Coturnix japonica: one gene and its partners. The protein of the gene in region 3 interacts with the protein of the main gene of each other region in a biochemical or structural test. Links are inferred from orthologs where the notes say so. Each region holds a gene or a part of one and is shown on either strand. Other genes may lie near its edges.

Region 1 (7,441 bases), on a different chromosome or scaffold from region 3:
GATGATCTTCATGGGAAGGCAAGTGACCCATGCAGGCAGCCCAGCACTCAGGTCTGCCCCTCACCCAGTGGGAGGAACAGAACAGAACACTCAGATTGGGTACAGAAGTAAAGTAGTGGAGGTTACACTGTGTAACAGCACAAGGTAAAGTGAACAAAAAGGAGAAGGCTGGTAAAGAAAAGCCAGAAATAAAGGTAACTGCATTTTACTTGGCTGCTGTTTCTGGATTGGAGATGGAAAGAGACCTGATGTTTTCTACTTGCAAGGAAGAAACGAAAACACAGCTGCCCTCTGGAAGGTCATTTCTGGTCCTGCAGACCCACTCTGTTTATGCTCCTGCCCTTCTGGAAGCAGTGCTGCTCATCCAAAACGTCCCTGTGCCTGTGATGGTAACCAGCTCAGGTTTTTCGCAGCAGGACAGCAATGAATGTGGCATTTCAGTCCAGCAGAACAAAGCTGACAACACATTTTAAAAGCACATAGCAAATCCCAACGCCGAGCAGAGGCAGCTAAGCCATGGAATGCTTCAAGAACACAACCACAGCCCTGCAGGATCTCTGAGAGGCTGTCCTGAATTTTCCTGCTCTAAAGTGATTACTGGCATTCTAACTAGCTCTGATTATGGGCACAGATGAAAGCTGACAGCAGGGACCTCCCATTACAGCGTGTAGAGCTGGACTGACACATGGCTCTGGGAAGGAGCATTTTTGCCTATTTGAGCCCTTTCCTCTCGAGTACCTCAGTTAAAATTCCTTCCATTGAGTAATTTCTATCCAGACCCCGGCTGCGCTGGCTTTGTTCCCACATGAAAGAAAACCTGCAGGCAGAAAGCAATGCCATCTGCCAAGTCAGAAGCTTCTTTAATGGACAAGCATGGTGTGAAGGGGAACAGACTATCACACTCCATCTCCAGCAGCACAAACGATGCAATTCTCTTCCCAGGAGCATGTTCCAGTGAGCTCCTCCTCACCAGCACTATCTCTCCTCAAACACAGATACCAATGGATGCTGCACAAACAGCCCCCAGGGAATATATAAAAACCTTAAAAAAGAAAGTCACTCAGTACATTTTCCCCCCTCCTGCTTGACTTGCAGCACAGCCTGTCCATCCTCTCCACCTGTGAGATCAGGCTGCAGCAGCCTTCACTTCCCATACCTGCATCTGGATGTCAGCGAACCCATTGGCACAAGCAAGGCCAGAGCACCACAGCCCTGTCATCCCTACACAACCACACACAAGTTGCTTCTGAGAAAAACATTTTCCAAGTTCCCTTTTTAATTTATAATAAGCGTTGTGACCAGACGCTGTGCTGTGAAGTCTCACCTGGTGCTGGGGAATGCAATGGCCCTGCCCAGGTTTCACAAGAAACAACAGAGAAACTTCTCTGAAAGCCTTCATCCATCCTTCAGTGCAGAACGCCGGGTATGGAAGTTATGTTGAAAGCACCTCAATTTCACTCACTTGGTGCAGAATACTTCAGCAGAAGGATCTAAGTGAAGAATTGCACCTCAGAGCCACAAACCCCAGGTAGGTGCAAAGCCCCAGCACTGCCCATTCTATGGGCCAGAACTTCCCATTCCCTCCACGATAAACTCAGGTGAGTCAGTTATGTGCAGAGAGCACAAAAGCAGCGATAAAGAAAAAATGAGAGCATTGGAAATGCAGCCATTAATCAGCACCTTGTGACAAGTTTTTCTAGTTTATCTGCCCAATTTTGGGTTGTTTTTTTGTTTCCAAGTATTTCCAGTCTGCCACCACACAGCAAGGACTGTGCCAAACTACAGCTCTAACCTGACTGAGGTAAGGCCACATGCAGCCCTTGGCTTCCAGCTGCAACCAGGTGTTTATTGAGGCTTAAGAAACAAATGCACCCCTCAAGCACCTTAACTAATCAGGTAAACTGCAGCAAGAACTCAGCAATGCCACCATGTCATTCCCACAACATTTGCTTCAGCTGTTTTCAGTCCTGCTGTACAGCACAAACGTGCTTTGCATTTGGGCCATTTATTTCTCATTGGATTTTGAGCCACGTGGTCTAAAATCATCAAGGAAACCTCGAGGTTAGAAGCCAGAAGGCAAGTGAGTTTAATGTTCCTGAGTTAACGGTCTGTGTACTTGTGTTTATCACTACAAACACTCACTTTCAGTTCACAGCTACCTGCCAGTACTGCCATTACCTGTGCTCTCCCAGGCGGTGCCCTTCTGGAAACAGATTACAAAGATAAAGAGGAGAATAGAGTGAAGTGGAAGCGCTCCTTCCAACACCAAGAGCGATCCTTCCAAAGTCAGGCACCTGTGACATCGAGCAGGGCCCTGCAGAAGGTCTTCAAAGGGAAGGCAGCCTAAAAACCAACGAGCACCTAAACCCTTCCCAGCTCAGGCCTATTGAATTGCAGAGACCCAAGGCAGCTTCCTTCCCCACTGTTGCATAACACACTCATTCAGAATCCAGCACGTTTCCTCACAGCACACACCCAGACGTTCTCCTCCCCGCTTTGTCTCTTAAATACAAACACGAGGCTTTTGCCACTTGTAACGTTCTAACGTTCTCCTCAATGCTCACATGGATTATTCTGGGAAAGACTCACAAGCAGACTGTTATCCCATAAGCAACGTGAGCGTCTCCAGGCTGGAATCCCTCACCACGCAGCTCCCCTTGTAAAACGTCAGCAGCAGAACAGGAGAGTAACATGGCGTTAAGTGAACCCCAAAGCACCAAGATAAAGGGGAATAGCCCACATACCTTCAGAGCACACTTGCGCCCCGTCTCCTTGTGGAAGCACTCCAGTACTTTGCCGTTGATTCCTAACCCCAGCACCCGCTTGGACAGCTTGTAGTCGTCCGTGACGGAGTGTTTCTTTATCTCTAGCTTGACGTGGGCCGCTCCCCCAGGCACGGGCTTCACGCAGCTCCTGCTCTCCACGTGGCTCTCGGGCTGGGATTCCTGCTCTCCTCCATCGCGTTCCATAGCAGGCGACAACCCGCGGCCACCGCGACGCACTCCAGGCGACCCGTGCGCTCCGTGCTCAGCTCACACAGCGCTCATCCAGCCATCGAGTCCTGGACACACACGAGGATCAGCGCCCACCGCCGGGATCGAACAGCCCTGCGCCCCCCGCAGCAGCAGAGAGGCGCTCTCGGAGCTCTCAGCCCGCACCCAGAACTTTCTGCCCCGCCGCAACACGCGCCGGTGCCAAACCTGGGACCAAAGTCCTCGGCGGAGCCCCGCGCTCACAGCGTTTGCTGACGCCTCGTTTGGCGCTGAGAACCCCCGGCGGCCTCCCCGCATCCAGCGCCGTGCCGGCAGCCCCCACCTGCGGCCCTCGGCAGGGCGGGGGAAAGGGAGACACGACGGGCGCCGAGCCCGACACCTGCCCTCATCCCGCTCCGCCGGGTGACACGGCTCGGGGGGGGGGTTCGGACCCCACCGGAGGACGTTACCTGCCCGTGGCGGCGCGGCCCCGGCCAACGCTTCCCGGCGCGGAGTCCCGGAGGGCGGGCGCTGCCTGGGTCCGCCCCGGGCAGGTGCGCACCGCCCCCCGCGACGAAAGGGGGGGCCCGGCCCGAGGGGAGCACAGCGGGCGGACAGCGGGGTGCACGGCCGGCTCGGTACGGGGGCGGGGGGGAAAAACGGGGGCTGAGGGTGGGATGTGCTTTGTGGGGGTGACCTGAGGCACTCACGGGATGGGGGGCAGCAGGCGGCGATGGTGCCCGGGAATGCACCAGAGCGCTCCGCGGTGTCACCGGAGCTGATGGGAGACGAAGAAGGTGAAAAAAAAAAATCCCTGAGAAAAACAAAAATAAGGGGGAAGGGGGACGGAAATAGGAGAAAGAAGCGGCGGGGAGGAGCGGCTGCCGTGACGGCCGCGGGTGGTGCCGCAGCGCGACCGTGCGGCTGTTGCCCGGAGGAGCGGCCGCAGCGGCGCACGGGGCAGCACGGAGCCACCGACCGGGCTGTGACCTACGCCCGCGGATGAGCCGTACGGGGCTGGTTGATGAGGCCCGCTGCTAATTGCACACACCTGGAACTCCGACGAAGCCTTTCCAGCCCCGGCCCAGGGACCAAACAGCCTCACTCTGCAGCTGAGGCAGAGCAAGCAAATACATTCCCTTCCTCCCTGTGATCGTTTCATAGCTTTGTAGGTTGTCCGGGCACAAATTGTACTGCTGTGCCAGACAGAAGCATAGCACTCCGGAATTATAGTTGGCAGGATCACCAAGTCCCGTTGTCCATCCCTCCCCCCTCCCAGCTCAGGGCCACATCCCCACGCTTCTGGAGCACCTCCATGGACGCTGACTCCCCCAGCTCCCTGGGCAGCTGTGCCAGTGCCCGACAGCTCTTTCAGCACAGATGTTCTTCCTAATATCCTACAGGGACCTCCACTGTTGCAACTTGAGGCCGTTCCCTCTGGTCCCATCACTGTTACCTGGGAGAAGAGGCCGATCCCCACCTCATTACTGCCTCCTTTCAGAGAGATGCCTGAGGTCTCCTATGAGCCTCCTAACAGGAGGATCCCAGCTCCCCCCACCACACCTCCCAGGATTAGCAGTGCCTGGGACAGCTTCCAGTTGGAAGGCAAATGTTGTTTATTTATGGATATTTACTTTTTGAAGTTAAAAACAACCACAGTATCGTTACATACTAAAAGCCCTCTGTGGCATTAAGTTCTTTCATCCTCATAAAAATCCCTAAATCTGCACATTAAATATTCATCCTGTTTTTACCAAAACTACCCAACAGCAACAACACACTGCTGCCATCAGAAGGATTAACACAATGGAAAGGCAATACAGGAGTGTGACAGTAAAGGGACTAAGTAAATGGAATGGGATTTCAAAGGAAAAGTAAAGATGCTCATGCTCACTCACCTCCAAAGATCACAGAAAAGACTCCACTGATGAGGAACCTCCAACCAAAGATCCTTCCCTAATGGGGATCAGCTCTCAAATGAGGTCTAAGAGAGGTGCAGCCAGGCTTCACTCCTTCCCATTACACAGCTGAGTTGCCTTCACCTGTGCTCCCGGGGCTGACTGGGTCCTTTCCCCAGGTGCTCAATCAGTGGTTCAGGGTGGGATTCAGCAGTTCCATCCACACACACACACACACACACACACACACACAAAAAAAAAAATCGAAAACCACCCCCAACCCATCCTTATTTTGTGAGGGAATTGAGTAACCCAGCTTGTCTGCATTGCCCCACTGTAGGAGCAGAGTTTATTAGGGAAAATCTCCAATCACAAGGCCCCAATCTTGCACTGAGCAGTGGGGCAGCACCCACCTCGGTGCTCCAGCCAGCACACAGCTGGTGCTGCTGCTCCTGGGTATCACAGCTGCCTGCTCTGCACAGAGAGAGCTTAATGGCTCAAATACCGTTACTTTGGGTGGTTAAGGTTAATTTCAGTTGTCTCAACAGGTGATTTTTGCTGCCTTTTTCCTACAATTCGGTAATAGCGATATCAGGTATCAAAGCCAGTTCAGACTGAACTACTTCATTTCTCAACAAAAATGAAGCAAAACAAAACATCTCAGTTTGCTGTCAGGTGGAGAGTGAGGAAATCTGGGGTCACCAAATCCTCGGGGCTGGTGTTGGGACAATGATACCTACCCGAATGCTGCAGTCACCTGAGTTTATCTCAGACCAAAGGGATTGGGCTGGGGTTGGTCCTCACACAGCAATGTCTCAAGGAAATCAGTGTTAAATGCAATAAAGAAGATGCCACCAGCAGGTGAAAATGCAGAGTGATGTTTTCCTCTGAGACATTTCCTGCCCTGGGTGCCATCGGTGTCAGTCTTCCCCCGGGTGTGTTGTACAGAGGGTGCTCTGTGCTGTTAGGCTGGAAGTGGGGACGGAGCTGTGAGGCTGCAGCATCCTCTGTGTATTTCTGAGGAAGTTCTTCAGAAAGCGCCGTGTGTGCATAACTGTGCTGTGGGAGGAAGGGCAGCTCTGCAGGACGCTCCAGCGATGCACAGGAGGAAACAGAAGCTGCTGTGTGAGCTCCAGGTTGGGCTGTGGTGTGTGATGCACTCTGAAATGTGACCCACGCATCTGTCCTTCAGTTCTGCTCTGCAGGTGTCTGCCTCAGACCCAAAGAAGCAAAACAAAATAAAACAGAAACAAATAAAAAGGAAAAGTGAGGAAGTCATAATATGGTTTCTATAAGTTACAAACCCCAGCCCTGAACCCAATGCTGTATCAAGGCCACCCATATCCTACAGCATGCTGTGCCCTGATGCCTGGGGGTCCTCACAGCGCTATGGGGAGATGCAGTGGGTCTGAGAGCTGCGCTGACTGCCAGCATCTGCATTACAGACACTCAATGGGGGTGTTTGAGGCCACGGGGCACCTGCAGAGGGACATGTGGACACCATATGGACAGGTTGGATGGGGCCCTGGGCACCCTGCCCTAATATCAGATCTGGAGGCTCATGGTCCTGCCCGCAGCAGTAGGGTTGGAACCTGATGATCCTTGAGGTCCCTTCCAACCCAGGCCATTCTATGATTCCCATTTGAGCTGAAAGAAGAAATGCAAAAACGTTTTTGTTTTTCCTTAGAAGCATCATGAATCAAAAGCGTCATCAATCCTCTCATCTGCGGCCAGGAGATGGCGCTTCATTTTCTGCTGCAGAGGAGCGCAATTAATTAATCTCTCGCCGACAGAGATCCCAGCGCAGGGATGGAACGGCGGCCGTCAGCCCCAGGAGCCGCAGCCCAGCGGGTGGTGCTGCGGTGCTGCGGTGCTGCAGAGCGCTCGGGGGAGGGCAACGAAAAGCCACCGCCCAACACGGGGACACCGCGCTGCCCCGCAGGCAGCCCGCAGATGGAGGATATCGCTAGGTGGAGCCCGATTCCGCCGCTGGGACGCACAGACCGAAGGCTCCGGGCGCAGCGCAGCACGAGGTTGTCAAAGTGGCTCCGTTAGGTACGAGCGGACCCTCCCGCTCCCCGCAGCCGGGCCGGCACCACAAGAAGAGGGAGGGATGAGCGCTGCTCCGGGCCTGAGAGGGACGTTCTGGCTGCAGGAGCCGCCCTGGGCCCGGTCCGATCCGCTGCGGCTTCGCTGCGCCCCGTGCCCGGCGGCTGCACTGCGCCCCTCCGGTCAGCGGGGACGATGGGGGCAGGAGGAGGAGGATGGAGACGATGTGTTGAAAAACAAAGACTTTGATAGGCCCAGATGGGCGTGAGGTCTGTGCATCGCCTGGCTTTGCCTGGGTAATACATACAGATGTGGGCAGCTCTCTGTGTTTATTTTTAGATTGCTCCGAAAGTAATGCCTCCCATTTATTTGCATGAAAACTACAACAGACACAAAGAACACAATACCGCTACTTAATAGATCAATTTCTCAGCTACAAAACGCGATTATTTCAACACAGCCACCGCCATTAGCTGTGCTTTTTTTTTTTACCAGCGATGATCAGCAGTCTGCGTGGTGACA
Region 2 (7,368 bases), on a different chromosome or scaffold from region 3:
CGTTCTTGAGAGGATTTTTTCACGCAGACTCTGGTATTACAGCAACAAAATTATTTGGTCAGCAAGAACGTTAAAGAGACACTTCAAGCAAATTGAGGTGTAGTTACAAGGAATGCCCATAACATGGGATACACAGAGCACCATCACCGCATCCCAGCTGAAAGCCTCAGCTTTTGGCTTTCCACATCAACCAAACACCTTCTGCAGAAGCACCCGACACAAAGCTCTGCTTTCAGCAGTGCAGGAGGAGCGCTTTGGAGCTGCGGTAATGGCTGAATGTGCTCCTTCTATTCATCCCCAAGAGCCACTTGTGATGAAAAAACCCAAAGCACACAGAGCCAGCCCGGAGGATGGTGTCTGTGATAAATCAAGTGTTTCTGCATGAACACCCTGATTTTGAAGGGCCACCAGCCGTGCTGCACACGCTTTTTCTCTCTTCCCCCCATTTAATATTAACAGTTGAACTACGTCAGAAGGCAGGGCCCTATGAACAGGCAGCAAAAAAGCGTTGAGAACAAAGGCGTATTTTAATAAAGATCGGAGGCAGTGACAGAAAATGGATGAGAAACCAATTGCTTGAACAGAAAGATAAATGGTGGCTCACCAGCCCACCAGGCTCCCATGCATTTATGCACAGGCACCAGAAAACAAATTCCTGCTCCCAAAGGGGAGCACGCTTTGTTTCCAGCTCCTGCAGTGGTCACAAAGCCACACGAAGCCCAGTGCTGGGTGCACGCTCTGCCGGGCCTTGTGTGAGGAGCTGAAAAAGCAGCTGGTAAAGCAGCACACGGTGCTGTTGGCCCCAGCATTGACACTGGGATGGGAGCAGCAAGATGGGGCAGCAGGAGGACGTTAGTGCCTGAGCTGCACTTCCCAGTGCCACCGGGTCACAGCTGATCCCTGGGGCTGATTGGTTTCAGGAATATGGCAACAGTGAGCAGAATTTTTACTCCAGCACAACCAGCAACAGACAATCCCCTGCTCACACATCTGCTATGAGCACAGAGATATTTATTAGCTCCTTCAACACCGCCATGCCTTCTGCTCCTTGCACACTTAAAATACATACTCACTTCTGCACAGCTGAGATTACGTGCAGATCCACAGGTGCGTTGCCTTACCTAACAGGGCCACTGATCCCAGCTCCCAGCTTCTGAGTCCAGTTAATGTTGTACTCCTCTAAAATGGAGGTTTCCTATTCCAGAAGGAGCGGGGGGAGGGGAAAGAGCAGAAAAACAACAACAACAACAAAAACCACCAAAATTACTACAGCCCTTCCCGAACACCCAGCTCAGCAGCTGATCTGCAGATAGCAGGGCACAGACAGAGCCTGTTCTGCAGTTCTGCTTCACCTAGGAAAATTAAACCTAAGAGCAAATGCTCACAGAATAGAGCTCAGCAGAAGGTGATTTCTGTGCTGCTGAGGCTGCTCCCCCTGGCATTCTGAAGCAGGATTATTGAGAGCAGCAAATGGGATCTTGCTGCTCTACCACAGAAAGCGTACAAAGGATATTTCTCCCCCCACCCCAGCCCTTAAATCCAGCTTTCTTCCTACAAATGATCAATTGCAAAGGCCCATTTACAGCATTATCACATCCTTCTTGGTCATACAGTGTAATGGAAAATATTCTTCTGTTTTCTTCAGGTTTGCAAACCTTTGGAATCATTATACTGCAAATTAACTGCTGCGTGACTCGTTTTAGCTTGTCTGAGAGTGAACCAAGCTCACGTTCATAATCCTTTTGTCCAAATCCATACAACCAGGGCAGGGGTTTTTTTATGACACAGCCCGGGTGTGGCCACGTTTAAACATGTCCTAACGTTTGTGGGGTGCAAATGGGAGCACTGAAAAATGCAGACTGGGTGCAGAACGGTGTGTGCATGCTGGGGTCACAAATCACACACGTGCTCAGAATTGGCTCCCCAAAAGCTCTGCTTTCTGATCGACTCCAAGCAAGGGAGGTGGTAGCAGAAGCTGACTCCAGAGATGCTTGAACAAGCAAGGAAATGCTTAGGAAAATATTGAAGAGTCAACCACACATGAAGCAAGTTTTTTTTGAGGGGGTCAGATTTTTCTGCCTACATTAATTTTCATTCAGAACTTCAGCATCCAATCATGGTACAAATGGAGGATGCGCTGCTGAAGGCACAGGCAGACCCACAGCTTGTGGTCCCACTGACCACACTGCGGACAAACCTCAAGCCACATGGGTCAGAAACAAAGCCAGAGGAAAACTGATCCTTAAGGCAAGAGCTGGAGGGGTTAGAGAGTGTAAAAGATAGAGATAAAGGGAAAAAGTAACCTGGAGTAGACATTGCATAGATCATGGATGACAGCTTGAAAGGAAAAAGTGAAAGGTAGTTTTTAAGTGGAGATTTCTGGTGGGGTTTTAAAATAAAGAAGGGGAAAAAGCAAAGCCCAGGAACACAGGATTATAGTGCTTTATTGTTTACAAAGCAGACAATGCTTCTTTGTGCTTCTATCAATTAAACTAACACAAATTTCACTACCTTGTGAGAAGCACATAAGGGAAAAGCCAACTTCAGTTTCCTGCTGCTCAGACACAGAGAACCATCAGACACAGAGAACCAAAGGCATCACAACCCAAGCAAAAGCACAAATTCAGAAGAACATTATTGAGTGAAACCCCATTTCAGCTGAGTCGGGAGAACAAGGCAGAGGAATGGGAATTGGACAGCGCGTGATCTAAGAATCAGATGAAGTGAGAATAAGATCTGGCAGTTCTCAGCTCCTGAAGAACAAACTCAATGGCTGCAGATCAGTATTTCCTCTTGCACATTCTGGGCATTCACTGTTGTTCTAAATAAAAACCCAACTTTTTTTTTTCCCCCCTGCATTTTTATTTAGATTCAAACCTTCATTCAAAAGCAGCTTCATAACTTAGAAAGAATAATCCAGTAATGAAAAAACACTCTCCTTAATGCACAATATTGCTTCCATCTCCTAGTACAGAAACAGAAGCTCCAAACCCAGCAGCGAGCCAGTACAGAGCTGTAAATCAACACTGACTCATCCCATCCAAACAGAGTGAAATATTTGAAACACCCTGATAAAAATCTGCCCTCTGAAAATACCAACATCTATTTCAGCAGCGCTGCCCCAGGGCTGCCTGGGTGACCTGGCCCAGCTGGAACTGAAGGAACTGAGGGATCCAGGCTGAGATCAAGTGGTGGTAATACAACATGCCGAAGACTCTCTGCAGTCTCTTTGTACAGTGTTATCTGTCACAGAGCCTGGATGGCTTCATAAATGCTTCCTTTAGTAAGACAAATGAATTTCAAAAGGATCTACCAAAAAACACCCCCTGTGTTGGCATTTTCAACCTCCTCCATTACTCGCCACTGCAGGATTTATCTTTACAAAGTTCACTGGGCTCTGACAGTGATAGGGCATGGAGCAATAGATTTAAACTGACAGAGGAGGGATTTAAGTTTGACATTAGGAAGAAATTCTTCAGCATGAGGGCAGTGAGGCTCTGGCACAGAGAAGCTGTGGATGCCCCATTCCTCTAAGTGCCCGAGGCCAGGGTGGACCGAGTCCTGGGAACCTGGTATAGTGGGTGGCAATCAGCCCACAGCAGGAGGGTGGAACTATGTTATCTTTAAGGTACTTTCCAACCCAAGCCATTCTGTGATTCATTCTATTGAAAAATAATCAGTGCAAGAGAAGTCCAACACAGTTCTTCACTGCTGGAGATCAGTTTGATTTGAAAGACATGGGTTTTGCATTTTAACAAAACAAAATGGGAAGAATTCTGAGCCCAGAGTTCAGACATCAGCCTGCAACCTAACCACGAGCTCCAGCACCAAGGCTGATATATACTGGCTCCCTGCTTTGTTGTCAGCCTCAGCACAGTGCAGCTGAAGCAGCTATCCAGGAGACTCTCAAAACAGTTTTTAAGTATTTCATATAAAGATCTATATCAGAGCTGCTGTACGGGTGTAGGGACAGCGCTGATTCTGCTCCTGCCCCTCTCAGCTCAGAGGGATTCAGATAAAGAACAGAATCAGGAAAGTACTTTGGCTTTGAGGCATCTGTCTGAACACAGAACTTACTTCAGTCCCATCTTGGAGAAGAGAACACTCCAGGGACCTTCCTGGACTTGAGGGAAACTTATAAGCAGGAGTATCAACTTTTTACACAGGCAGATAGTGGCAGGACAAGAGGCAATAGGTTTAAAGTAAAAGAGGGGAGATTTAGGTCAGATGTCAGGAGAAAATCCTTCACTCAGAAAGAAGAGAGCCCAGAGCTGTGGGTGCCCCAGACATGGAGGTGCCTGAGGCCACGGATGGACCCTGTGCAGCCTGAGCTGGGGGGCAGCCAGCACACGGCAGGGGTGAGGCTGGGGGGCATAAAGGTCTCTTCCAATTCAAACCATCCTTTGATTCTTTCAGGCGTTTTGCTGAGATCTCTGCTCCACAGATTCTAGTTTATCATTCAGGTTTGATTGAGCTTCTGCCTGTTGGTGTGAGCTCTGTGCTTTGAGGTGGTGGCTGCAGCAGAAGCTGCACTGACTGTGTGCACATCACCCACAGAACACACGGCATCGTCCACATAACCCCGAATATCCTTCCATTGCCTTGAGCGGGTCAGCCACAACTTTTACAGCGCCCTATTTCAAACTTTCCCCACTGGTTCCCCTCGGTTCCTCCCGCCCAACCCCGCAGATGGGCTCAGGGATCCCTCGGTGCTGCTGTCAGCGACCAACCCCGGGTAACCGATGGAGATGACCGAGAAGCGGCCACCGGTGTCCAACGCGTGTGATGCCGAGCGCCGCTCCTTACCTTGATCGCTTTATCCATCTCGGGATCCCCCGACATCCTCCCACGGGGCTCCGGGAACCGCCGGCCCGTCCCCACCACGGGCCCGAGGGCCGAGGACCGGAGGAGCAGCAGCGGGACGGGGCCGCGCTAAGCACCGGGCAGCCCCGGGGGAGCCTTTGTGGCCGAGCCGCAGCGCCTCATCCCCAACCGGCCGGACCGGAGGGGGCCGGGACAGCGCCGCAGGAAGGAAGGCAGCAAGGGCACTAAGCCGCCGCTCAGCCACGGAGCCGCCGCCGCCGCCACCCGGGAGCTGCCGCCACCGCCCGGGAGCCAGACATCGCCGGCACTCCGAGCCGGGCAGCCCCGCCGGGCCGTACAGCCCGCAGCGATGCTCTCGTTACCGCCACACTCGATGCGAGGGGCTGCTCCGAACACAACGATGACTCTTAGATCCCACCGCGGAATTTTAGGATCCTCCGCCAAAGCGGCGCAGCGATTTACAGGCGGGCGGTGGACAGCCCTGAGAGCGCCACTGAGCATCCAAAGCCCCCGAGGGACCTGACATGGTCAGGGCGCCTCCGAGTGACGTGTAGAGCGCGGGGTGAAGTCTCGCGAGGTGATGGACGCGCGGTTGGCGCCTCCTGCTGAGGAGCGGGAGGGATGGCGGCGCCATATTGTACGTGTGGTCGAGGCGCTGCTTACACTGTGCTACAGAGAAGGTAGGGGCAGCGGGACTGAGACAGAGTGTTTAGGTACAGAACGAGAGCGAGGGGGGCAGCTGGGAGTCAGCCCGTACCTCAGGTGTCACCTCAGGTGTTCCCTCAGGTATTACCTCAGGTATTACCTCAGGTGTCCCCTCAGCTGTTCCCTCAGGTGTTCCCTCAGGTGTCACCTCAGCTGTTCCCTCAGGTGTCACCTCAGGCTGCACTGAGAACTATTATGAGCCTCAGTGCTGGCTTGATAACCATCTAAATGACTTGGGGCTGGGGCTAAGAACACGTTCATCAGCGACAGATGCGATAGGAGCACACCCATGTACCACGTTAGCACTCAAGTAAATGTATTTGGTATTTTAAAAAGATAAAGCCCGGTAAGATTTGTAAGAAAAGCTCCTTCAGGCCCTTTGTAAAGAATAGTTTCTTAATGCAAAGCTGCGTGTTTGCTGCTTAAGTTTTGTGTGTTAGAAGGAAGATGTTTTCTTGCTTTGTATCTCATGAAGCTGCATAGGTGTTTCCAAGCACTGCTGTCCTTCACGAGTTCTTCTGTGGGATTTTGATTGTCACCTAGAGAAAACAAACGTCACACGTTACTTTCTTGCAGGCTGTGTTTGGTTCTGTTCACTTGAGGGCAGCATCCCGGAGAGCAGCGTTACAAGTTGGTGTTCAAGACTCGAATTCCCCTAATTGAGTGATGAGTGCAGCTGTAAGTATGTGCCCACATAAACTGACATGCATCCCCAGCACAGGCTCTCTCTGGTCTGCACAAGGTGAGCTTGCAGAGAAGCCAACACACCTGTGTTATTTACAGGGAGGGCCAGCTACCCTGTGCCAAGTGGTGCAGGCAGCAGGTAACCTGTCAGTCAGGGCACATATCCTTGTTCTTTTCAGCAGTATAAAACAGAACTGGCTTTCTGTTTTAAACAGAGTTGCACAGAGTTTTGTTCGTGGTTATTTCACACGTGTTGGGAGGTACCCAGATACAGGAATACTCACGTTTTTCACCTCCAGATATGCCTCCAGACCATATTCTCCCAGCTCTCTCCCATTCCCAGATGCTTTGTAGCCACCAAATGGAGCTTGTGCACCAAACACATTATAGCAGTTTACCCTGAAAAGGAAACCAAGAGTTAAAAACCTCTTGTTAACCCCAGTATGGTAATGGAAGAGCTCCTTCACAGCAATTATCTGTTTACAGCAGAGGAAGGGCTGAATTTCTGGGCACAGTTTCCATATTTGTTAGTTATCTTGGTCAACAGGGTTACGCAGTAATGGAACCTTATCTTCATCGACCAGGAAACGGAACAGCATGAAATTAGTTCACGTCTTGCATCACATAACCAAGTGTCTGGGTTGCTACCCACAGCTCTGAAGGAGGTGTGATTAAAAATAAATGATACCAGGTTCACTGAATGTACTTAAATAAATGAAATAGTGAGATGCTGGGTCTCCAAAATCCCCTGTGCTAAAAGAGTAAAGTGTGGCAAAGTGCTGACTTTGGCATAATCTTCAACATGGCCTCAGAATACAGCCCAGATTGTAGAGATGTGCTCGATGATCTGATCACTGCTGGCATCAGAGCCCTATAGCAGCTGCTGACGTTGTCAGCTGCAGAACTGGACTTCTTTTCCCTCCATCCCACCTGCTAATTCACTGTGGGAAAACAGAAGTTTAATATAACTCTTGTGTTTTACCAAAAATCAGCATTGCAGTTGAAAGTCAGACATTACATTCTGTGAGGATCCAAAGCAGACACAGGCTTTCAAACAGCAAGTTAGATGGGAAAGGAGAGCACATACATCCGACAGTTTAAGGAGAAGGAAGTGACAAGGCTTACCAGACTGTTCCAGCTCGCAGGGCCTGAGAC
Region 3 (7,124 bases):
GATCCCATCCTTCCCAATCAACACAGGCATCCCCAAACATTGTTTTCCCCTTCCCACCCTTGGCCTTGGGGACCTCCTGGTGTCCTCAACCTTGACTTCCCATTCATACCCTTGGCCTTGGGGACTTCCTGACATCCCTTCCCAACCATTGGCATCCACTTCTTCCTAACCCATGTAGGTGTCCCTAATACTCGGTGTCCCATTCCTTCCCAGCCAATGCTGGTATCCCCTTCCCAATTGTTGGCATCCCCAACCCTTGGTGGTGTCCCTTTCCCTCCCTTAGTCTTGGGGACCTCCTGATGTCCCCAACCTTGGCATCCCATTCCCACCCTTGGTCTTGGGGACTTCCTGATGTCCCTTCCCAGCTGTTGGCATCCACTTCTTCCCACCCCACACTGACATCCCCTTCCCAATGCTTGGTGTCCCTTCCCAACCAATGCTGGTATCACCTTCCCAACTGTTGGCATCCCCAACCATTACTGTCCCCTTCCCACCCTTGGCCTTGGGGACCTTGTGCTGTCCTTTCCCCTGGCCCAGGGTTTGACCGATGTGTGACCAGGGCTGAGGAACTCATGGGGACAGTCTGTGCCTGGTTCATGGCCATGCTCTGTCCCTGCCTCCTGGCAGCTTTTTCCACTCAGCACGGTGTGCTCTGACTCACCCTGTAAAAATAATCCCCTCCCTTAGAAACCATACACCCAAAGTGGGTATTGACTCACACACAGTGGGGTTGTGCTGCTGCCTCCCCACCTGTGCCCAGCCCTGGGGCATGGCACAGTGCTGCCGTGGTGATAACGGTGCTTGGGGCTGGGACAGCACACGGTGCCACCCCCAGGTGTGGTGCTGCACTGGGTGACGTGTATTTGTTCCCCACCAATGCAGGAAGACAAGATGCTCGTTGCTGATCCCTAGGGCTGGTGCTGCTCTCGCTATGGCAACCATCTCCATCACTCCGGTTGCCTTGGCCACCCATCCCATAATGTCACACGCATACCCTGGGGGGGGGGATGTCCCAGTGCTCTGGGGGGGCTGGGCTGATAGAGGAGCCCTATGGCTGTAGGATTCCTCCCCGGTCACTGCCTGCCTCCGGGATGACTCAGGGGGGATTAGGGGGATTTGTAGGAGCAGGAACGCGGCCGCTGGTAGCCTGGCCATGTAGGGCCAGCCCTGAACCTTGCATGGAGGTGTGGGGGACACAGGAGGGGTGTGGGGAGCATGACACTGTGCCCAGCTCCTGAGCTGGGGTTGGAGGTGAGCAAAGCCCCATCCATCCAATTCATCCCAATGGGGTGAAGGGAGGGGGCACAGTGGGGTGGAGGCTGCACATCCCAGAAGGAATCAGGAATGGGGGCATGCTGCTGGGTGGGGTGGGGGGCTTTGACCTCCTGAGCTTCTGCCCAAGCTTCCCTGTGAGCTGCAGGGGGGGGGGGGGGGGGGCTGTTTTATGGGATGTAGAGACCTGGGGTGCTGACACCAGGATGGGGATATACAGCAGGTTGGATATATGGGATGTTGAGAGCTGGGGTGGTGACACTCAGAGCTTTGGAGAGGAGGAATGATGAGATATTGAGACTGAAAGTGACGAGATCTGGGAGTTCAGGGACCTGGGATGGAGGAGAAATGGGATGCTGAGATCTGGGAGATGGGAGATCTGGAAATCTGGGGACTCTGGATCCTGGGAGCATGTTGGAGATCCAGTATGTTGTGACCTCAAATGGAGTAATGTAGAGTAGTGTAATGTTGAGACCCAGGACCCTGGAGACCCAAAATGTCAGATTCTCAGGACATGAAAGACCAGGACATTGACCTTGGGATGCTGGAGACCCACAGTGCTGACACCCAGGGTGTTAAAGCAGGGACATGGCCCTGTGTGCAACCAGCAGTTGGACTCAGTGGGTTTTATGGGTCCCTTCCAACACAGGATAACCCACGATTCTATAATCCTATGACTTTAGAGATCTGGCATGTCCAGATGTGGGGTGTGGGATGTGAAACTTGGCATATAGGCTGTAGGATGTGGCCAGCAGACACGGGGCAGGTTTCTTCTATCACTTTTATTCCCATCAATTTTCTCTTTTCCTCCAAGTTTATTCAAGGCACTGGGTGATGGGTGAGTACCAAGTAAAAAATACAAAGGGGGTGGGAGCTGGGGGCAGGCGTGCGGGGTGTGTGTCGGGGACAGCAGCGGGGCCTCCTCCTACTTCTTGGCTGGTTCTTCCTTCTTGGCCTCGACGGTGACAGGGATGGTGATCTCGGATGACTGGATGGCCGGCTTGGGCAGCGGGGCCTCCACTGTCAGCATCCCATCAGGGGACAGTGAGGACCGCACGGCTGTGGCTTCCACACCAGGAGGGAGACTGCGGGGAGAGGGGAGAGGTCAGAAAATCCCCTAATTTCTATGCGTCCCCCATTGGGGCCAATGACAACCCCAGTGTGTGTGTGAGATGGGGATGGGCAGGTTGGATGTCCCCACTCTCCCCACCCTGGTACTTACGTGTATTTGCGGGTGAAGCACCTGGAGATGAAGCCGTGCTCATCCTGTTTCTCCTCGTGCTTGCCTGGAAAGAGTAAAGCACAAAAGGTTAAACCCATTGGGTCTCCGCACTTGGGGTTTGCCTTTCCCTGCCCCATCAGCACTGGGTTGAGGGCAGTCCTGCTTGCCCTACATGCAGCCTTGAATGATGAGAGACACCTGGATCCCTACAGGAACACCCCTTAAATTTAAGGGTAGGAAACAGACGGTGATGGTGGACCCAACCCATCTCCAACGCCTTTGTTTCAGCTCCCCGTTGGGCAGGGCACACTGCTGGCCCTGGGCCATGGGGTCTGTGTTTCCTCACAGCATCCCTTGCTGAGCCCCCTCCCTGGCACACAGGGATGCTCAGGGTGCTGTGGGGCCTGGCTCTGCCCCATGGCGCTGACACCTCTGTCCCTATGGGGCACGCATCACATTCCTACCGTGGGCTGCATACAATAGCGGTGTGGGGCTGGGGACTGCAGCCAGCACACTGTGTACATCATGAGTCATCCCTGGAATGCACTTGTAACCCTATTCCTTCTCTGTTTGCTTATCATTTGTTATATCTTTTTTTCCCCCCCCTTTTCTCTCTTCCTTTTCCCCTTACCTTTCCTTTCCCTTTTTCCCCCTTTTCCTCTCCTCTCTTTCCCTTTCCCTTTTCCTTTCCTCTCCCATTCTTTTTCCTTTCCCTTCCTTCCCTATTTCCCTTTTTCCTTTCCCTTTCCCCTTTCTCCTCCCATTTCCTTCCTTTTCTTTCCCTTTTCTTTTCCATCCCTATTTCCCTTTTTCCTTTTCCTTCTTCCCCTTCTCCCTTTTCCCTTTCACCTTTCCCTCACTCTTTCTTTCTTTCTCCTTCCCTTTCCCACCATGCTCCATTTTCTCCTCATTCCCCCACCACAAATACATCCCCTCAACCACCCCACATCCCCCACACCCTCCCCATACCCCCATCACCCCATCTCTCAGACCCACCGGTGATCTCCACGATGTTATCCTTGGTCTTCACCACCAGCTCTTCGGGTGCAAAGTGGTTGACATCCAGGGTGACCTTCCAGCTGTCGGCGCTCTGCCTGATCTCGGAGATGCCGCTGCTCAGCTGCCGGCTCAATGCGCGGCCATAGGGCGACCCAGGGGCTGGCAGCAAGGCGCTCTCACTGGGCAGCAGACGGAAGTATCCAGGCCATGCGCTGCCGCTGGGCCACTTGTACCAGTCCTCGGGGATGTGGGGCATCCCAAAGGACTGGTCGAAGAGGCGGCTGCCATGGTACCAGTCGCGGAAGGGCTCCCAGCTGGGGCTGCTGAGGAAGGTGAAGGGCACGCGGCGCTCGGCCATGGTGTGCGGGGTTGATGGTGTGGAGCGGCTGTAGGGCCTTATGAACCCGTCCCCACGGTTATTTTTAGCCTTCAGGCGCAGCTGGCTATTAATGGAAATTGCAGCGGGGCCCGGGAAGGGACCAGAAGCTTTTCTCCAGCCCCGCGCAGCCGCAAGCCCTGCTGCCCGCCCTGCGCTGCTCCTTGGCGCTGATGGATGGGAGCTGGATGGATCCCAGCCTGCCCTCCCCTTCCCGTCAACAGCCCTCGGGATGCGCAGTGCTGGGGGGGATGAGTCAGAGCAGGAGCCCGAGCTCAGCCCTGCGCCCGCTGCGTCACTGCCAGGCCAGAAGCTTCTGGAGCCCACCAGAAATGTGGCACCCCAGGGTGAGGGGTCCTAGAGCTGGGTTTGTAGGGTTGATGGAGGATAGAGGGGCTGATAGGGGCTATAGGGCTTGGTGGGGGGGTCAGCAAGGCCCAGCGTTGCTGATGGAGGTCAGGAGGACTGATGGAGGCTGTAGGGCTTGATGGGGGTCAGTGAGGGATTACATGAATGGATGTGGACTGCTGGGGTTTAGTAGAGACCAGTAGGGATTGATGGTGCTGTGGGTGGCTGATGGGGGCAGTGGGGACTGATAGGGCTGATGCTGGTTGTTGGGACTGTTCAGGGCTGAGCTCTGGCCTTGGGCTGACTGTCCCTTCCTGCCCAGCTCCTGCAGCGTGCAGGCTTTGCTTTTAAGAGGCAGCACAGCCAGGGGATGGATGTATCTGAGCCCTGATGTGCTCAGTGCAGGGATGTGAGAGCCCTCCCTGTGGGGCGCTTGGCACAGACAGGGATACAGGAAGGATGGGAGAAGTATCTTTCATCAGGGGGAGCTCAGGGTGTCCCCCCAGCCCCAGCAGCACCTGCTGAACCCTTTGCTGGGGGCTGGGGTGGGGGGGAGCCCCATGTTGTCTGGGAAACAGGATGGAAAGGGATCAAAGCAGCCGAGCTGCAGAGCGGGGCTGCATCCTGCCAGGGGCTGGGGTGGGAGGGAGGGATGCAAAGAAACCGCTCCATGCCCCGCAGCATCATTTACAATATATACTGTATATTTTATTATAATTGAACCAGCTCACTGAATCTACAGCTGTACTCACAATCCAGAAAAAGGGAGCGCGCGAGAGAGAGGAAAATACTGAAGTATTTCTACAGAGTATTTTGTTCCAGTTGGCTCCCTCCGCGGCAGGAGACAGAGACTGTAAAAGAGGAAGACTGGAAATTTTCCCTGATGTGCTGTCCTGTCCGGGGCTCTGTCACTGTGGGAGCTGTGGCCGTGGGATGGGGATGGGGACAGGTTTGGGATGGGGGGGATTGGAATGGGGATGGAGATTGGAGTGGAGTCAGGGATTGGGATTGGGATTGGGATTGGGATTGGGATTGGGATAGGGATTGGGATTGGGATTAGGATTGGGATTGGATTGGGATTGGGATTAGGATTGGGATGGGGACTGCCCTGGAGGATGCACTGAGCATCCCCGCGCAGGGGGAGGGCAATGCAGGGTGCGTGAAGTGCTTGGCCGTGGTCAGAGCCCCACAACCCACCAGCACTAAAGGGGCATTACTGGAGTCAAAGGGATGCCCCAGTTCTGCAGTGCCCTCAGGGCAGGGACAAAGCCCTGATCCCATTGCGGCGCTGTGGGTTAATCCCAGCAGCTGTGCTCCCATCCCACTGGGCTCAGCGCTTCGTCCTCCTCCAGCCAGGCGGAAAACACACGGTCCATGTGGATTAAACACCGGCAGCGGGGCCGGGGGGTTTGCCCACAGGAAGGGCCTCTTTTTTCTTTTGGAAAATCAGCACAATGGTGTGGAATTGGGGCTGTCAGCAAAGCGGGCGCGTGGGCCCCATCCTTTATCTCTCATTAAAGCTCCAGGGAGGGCTGCACGGATGCTCCAGCCCCAATGAGCCCACTGCCATGCCATGGTGCCAGGAGAGGAGCCACTGCCATCCCACAGGGCTGCAGTTATTGGGGATAGTGGCACCATGAAGCCATCTGGGTCAGGAACTGAAGCAGGATGTGGCCAGGGGGACACAGATGGGGTCCCAGTGCTCAGAGGGGACACCACGCACCCAGATGTGCCCAAAGCAATGTGGGTGTGCAGGGGGCACCTCAGTGAGGACCACCCCAAAAGCACTGTGAGACACATCCCAAAACAGACCTTTTTCACCCCAAATCCAGACCTGACAGCATTTGTTCTTCAGGGGCAGGAGATGCAAAGCCCTGGCTGGAGTCAGGGGGGATCTCAGCCCACTCCTTGGGCTCATGGCCCCGTGCTGGGGATGCAGCAATGCTTTTTGTTCATTGGTGGCTCTGTGGTGCCCAGGGCTGTTGGGGCCTCAGGATAATCCATGTCACCTCTGTCCCCAAGGGTGCCACAGGGACACAAGTCAGTGAGATGCTGCAGTTCCTTTGGGGCCGCACCGCACCCTCCAGCCAGGCATGGAATGGGGAAAGGTGCTCAGAAAGTCCCAAAACACCCCAAAAAGCACCGCTGGATGGAGCACCCCCCCACCCAGCTATGTCGATGTGATTTGTTCCCTTGCTCTGTGCTCGCCCACCCTGCCCCCCCAATAAATAAGCCACCCCCCACCCCATCTCCCAACCCCCGAATACCCCCCAGGCTCAGGGTCACCCCCCGCTTGGTCCATCCTTGGCAATCCCCTGCTCCTGGGGTGGGATGGAGGCTCCTGGTTGGGGTGGGGGGGCTCAGAAGCCGGCGCTCTCGGAGCTGCTGCGGCTGTTGTAGCTGGGGCTGCGGCTGGGGGGGCTGCGTGAGCGGCTGGGGGGGCTGCGAGTCCGGCTGCGGCTGGTGCTGTAGGTGTCGTAGCTGCGGCTCCGGCTGCGGCTGTACGAGTAGGTGCTCAGCGAGCTGGAGGACGAGGGGCTGGGGCGGTAGTAGGGGATGGGACGCTTGCGAGCGCTGCAGAGGGAAAAGGGAAACTGAGTCACAGTCCTGGTGTGGGTTAGGGGAGGGATGGGGGGGCAACAGCCCAGCCTCCACCTCAATGCGCCTGGGGTGGCTGCAGGGTGACAGCGCCCGGTCCCACATCCCCCTCCTCTCCCCTGATCCGCCCCGGATGTTAGTCCTGGATTAGGCAGCGTCGAGGACAGAAAGTGAGCGGGTTAATGTGGCTTTTGTGTTTTCCCAGCCACCAAAGAGTGAAAGCTGCTGAAAAAGAGATGTTAGGGATTAGCCAGCGTCGGGCTGCCCGAGCTTCGACCCACACCGGCTCCTATGGGGCAGTGACATCCA

The links.
Region 1: of the proteins of HSPB1 (region 3) and MAPKAPK3, one has a biochemical effect on the other in vitro, tested with the Homo sapiens proteins (2 studies listed by BioGRID and IntAct). The link is inferred for Coturnix japonica from reciprocal best matches to the Homo sapiens genes HSPB1 and MAPKAPK3.
Region 2: of the proteins of HSPB1 (region 3) and MAPKAPK5, one has a biochemical effect on the other in vitro, tested with the Homo sapiens proteins (4 studies listed by BioGRID and IntAct). The link is inferred for Coturnix japonica from reciprocal best matches to the Homo sapiens genes HSPB1 and MAPKAPK5.

What each region holds. Positions count from the first base shown.
Region 1 is NC_029527.1:1,010,020-1,017,460, reverse strand, and holds the start of MAPKAPK3 (MAP kinase-activated protein kinase 3), read right to left. Parts: upstream 3,904-7,441; 5' UTR 3,683-3,903; intron 3,530-3,682; exon of another isoform or gene 3,443-3,529; intron 3,420-3,442; exon of another isoform or gene 3,201-3,419; intron 3,062-3,200; 5' UTR 2,970-3,061; coding exon 2,745-2,969; intron 1-2,744. UniProt on the Homo sapiens protein: Stress-activated serine/threonine-protein kinase involved in cytokines production, endocytosis, cell migration, chromatin remodeling and transcriptional regulation.
Region 2 is NC_029530.1:5,383,788-5,391,155, reverse strand, and holds the start of MAPKAPK5 (MAP kinase-activated protein kinase 5), read right to left. Parts: upstream 5,040-7,368; 5' UTR 4,843-5,039; coding exon 4,807-4,842; intron 1,196-4,806; coding exon 1,122-1,195; intron 31-1,121; coding exon 1-30. Other genes in the region: ALDH2 (aldehyde dehydrogenase, mitochondrial), read right to left, coding at 6,036-6,068, 6,498-6,612, 7,339-7,368. UniProt on the Homo sapiens protein: Tumor suppressor serine/threonine-protein kinase involved in mTORC1 signaling and post-transcriptional regulation. Phosphorylates FOXO3, ERK3/MAPK6, ERK4/MAPK4, HSP27/HSPB1, p53/TP53 and RHEB.
Region 3 is NC_029534.1:3,161,321-3,168,444, forward strand, and holds HSPB1 (heat shock protein beta-1), read right to left. Parts: upstream 4,032-7,124; 5' UTR 3,852-4,031; coding exon 3,491-3,851; intron 2,559-3,490; coding exon 2,495-2,558; intron 2,358-2,494; coding exon 2,198-2,357; 3' UTR 2,036-2,197; downstream 1-2,035. Other genes in the region: SRRM3 (serine/arginine repetitive matrix protein 3), read right to left, coding at 6,578-6,791. UniProt on the Homo sapiens protein: Small heat shock protein which functions as a molecular chaperone probably maintaining denatured proteins in a folding-competent state. Plays a role in stress resistance and actin organization.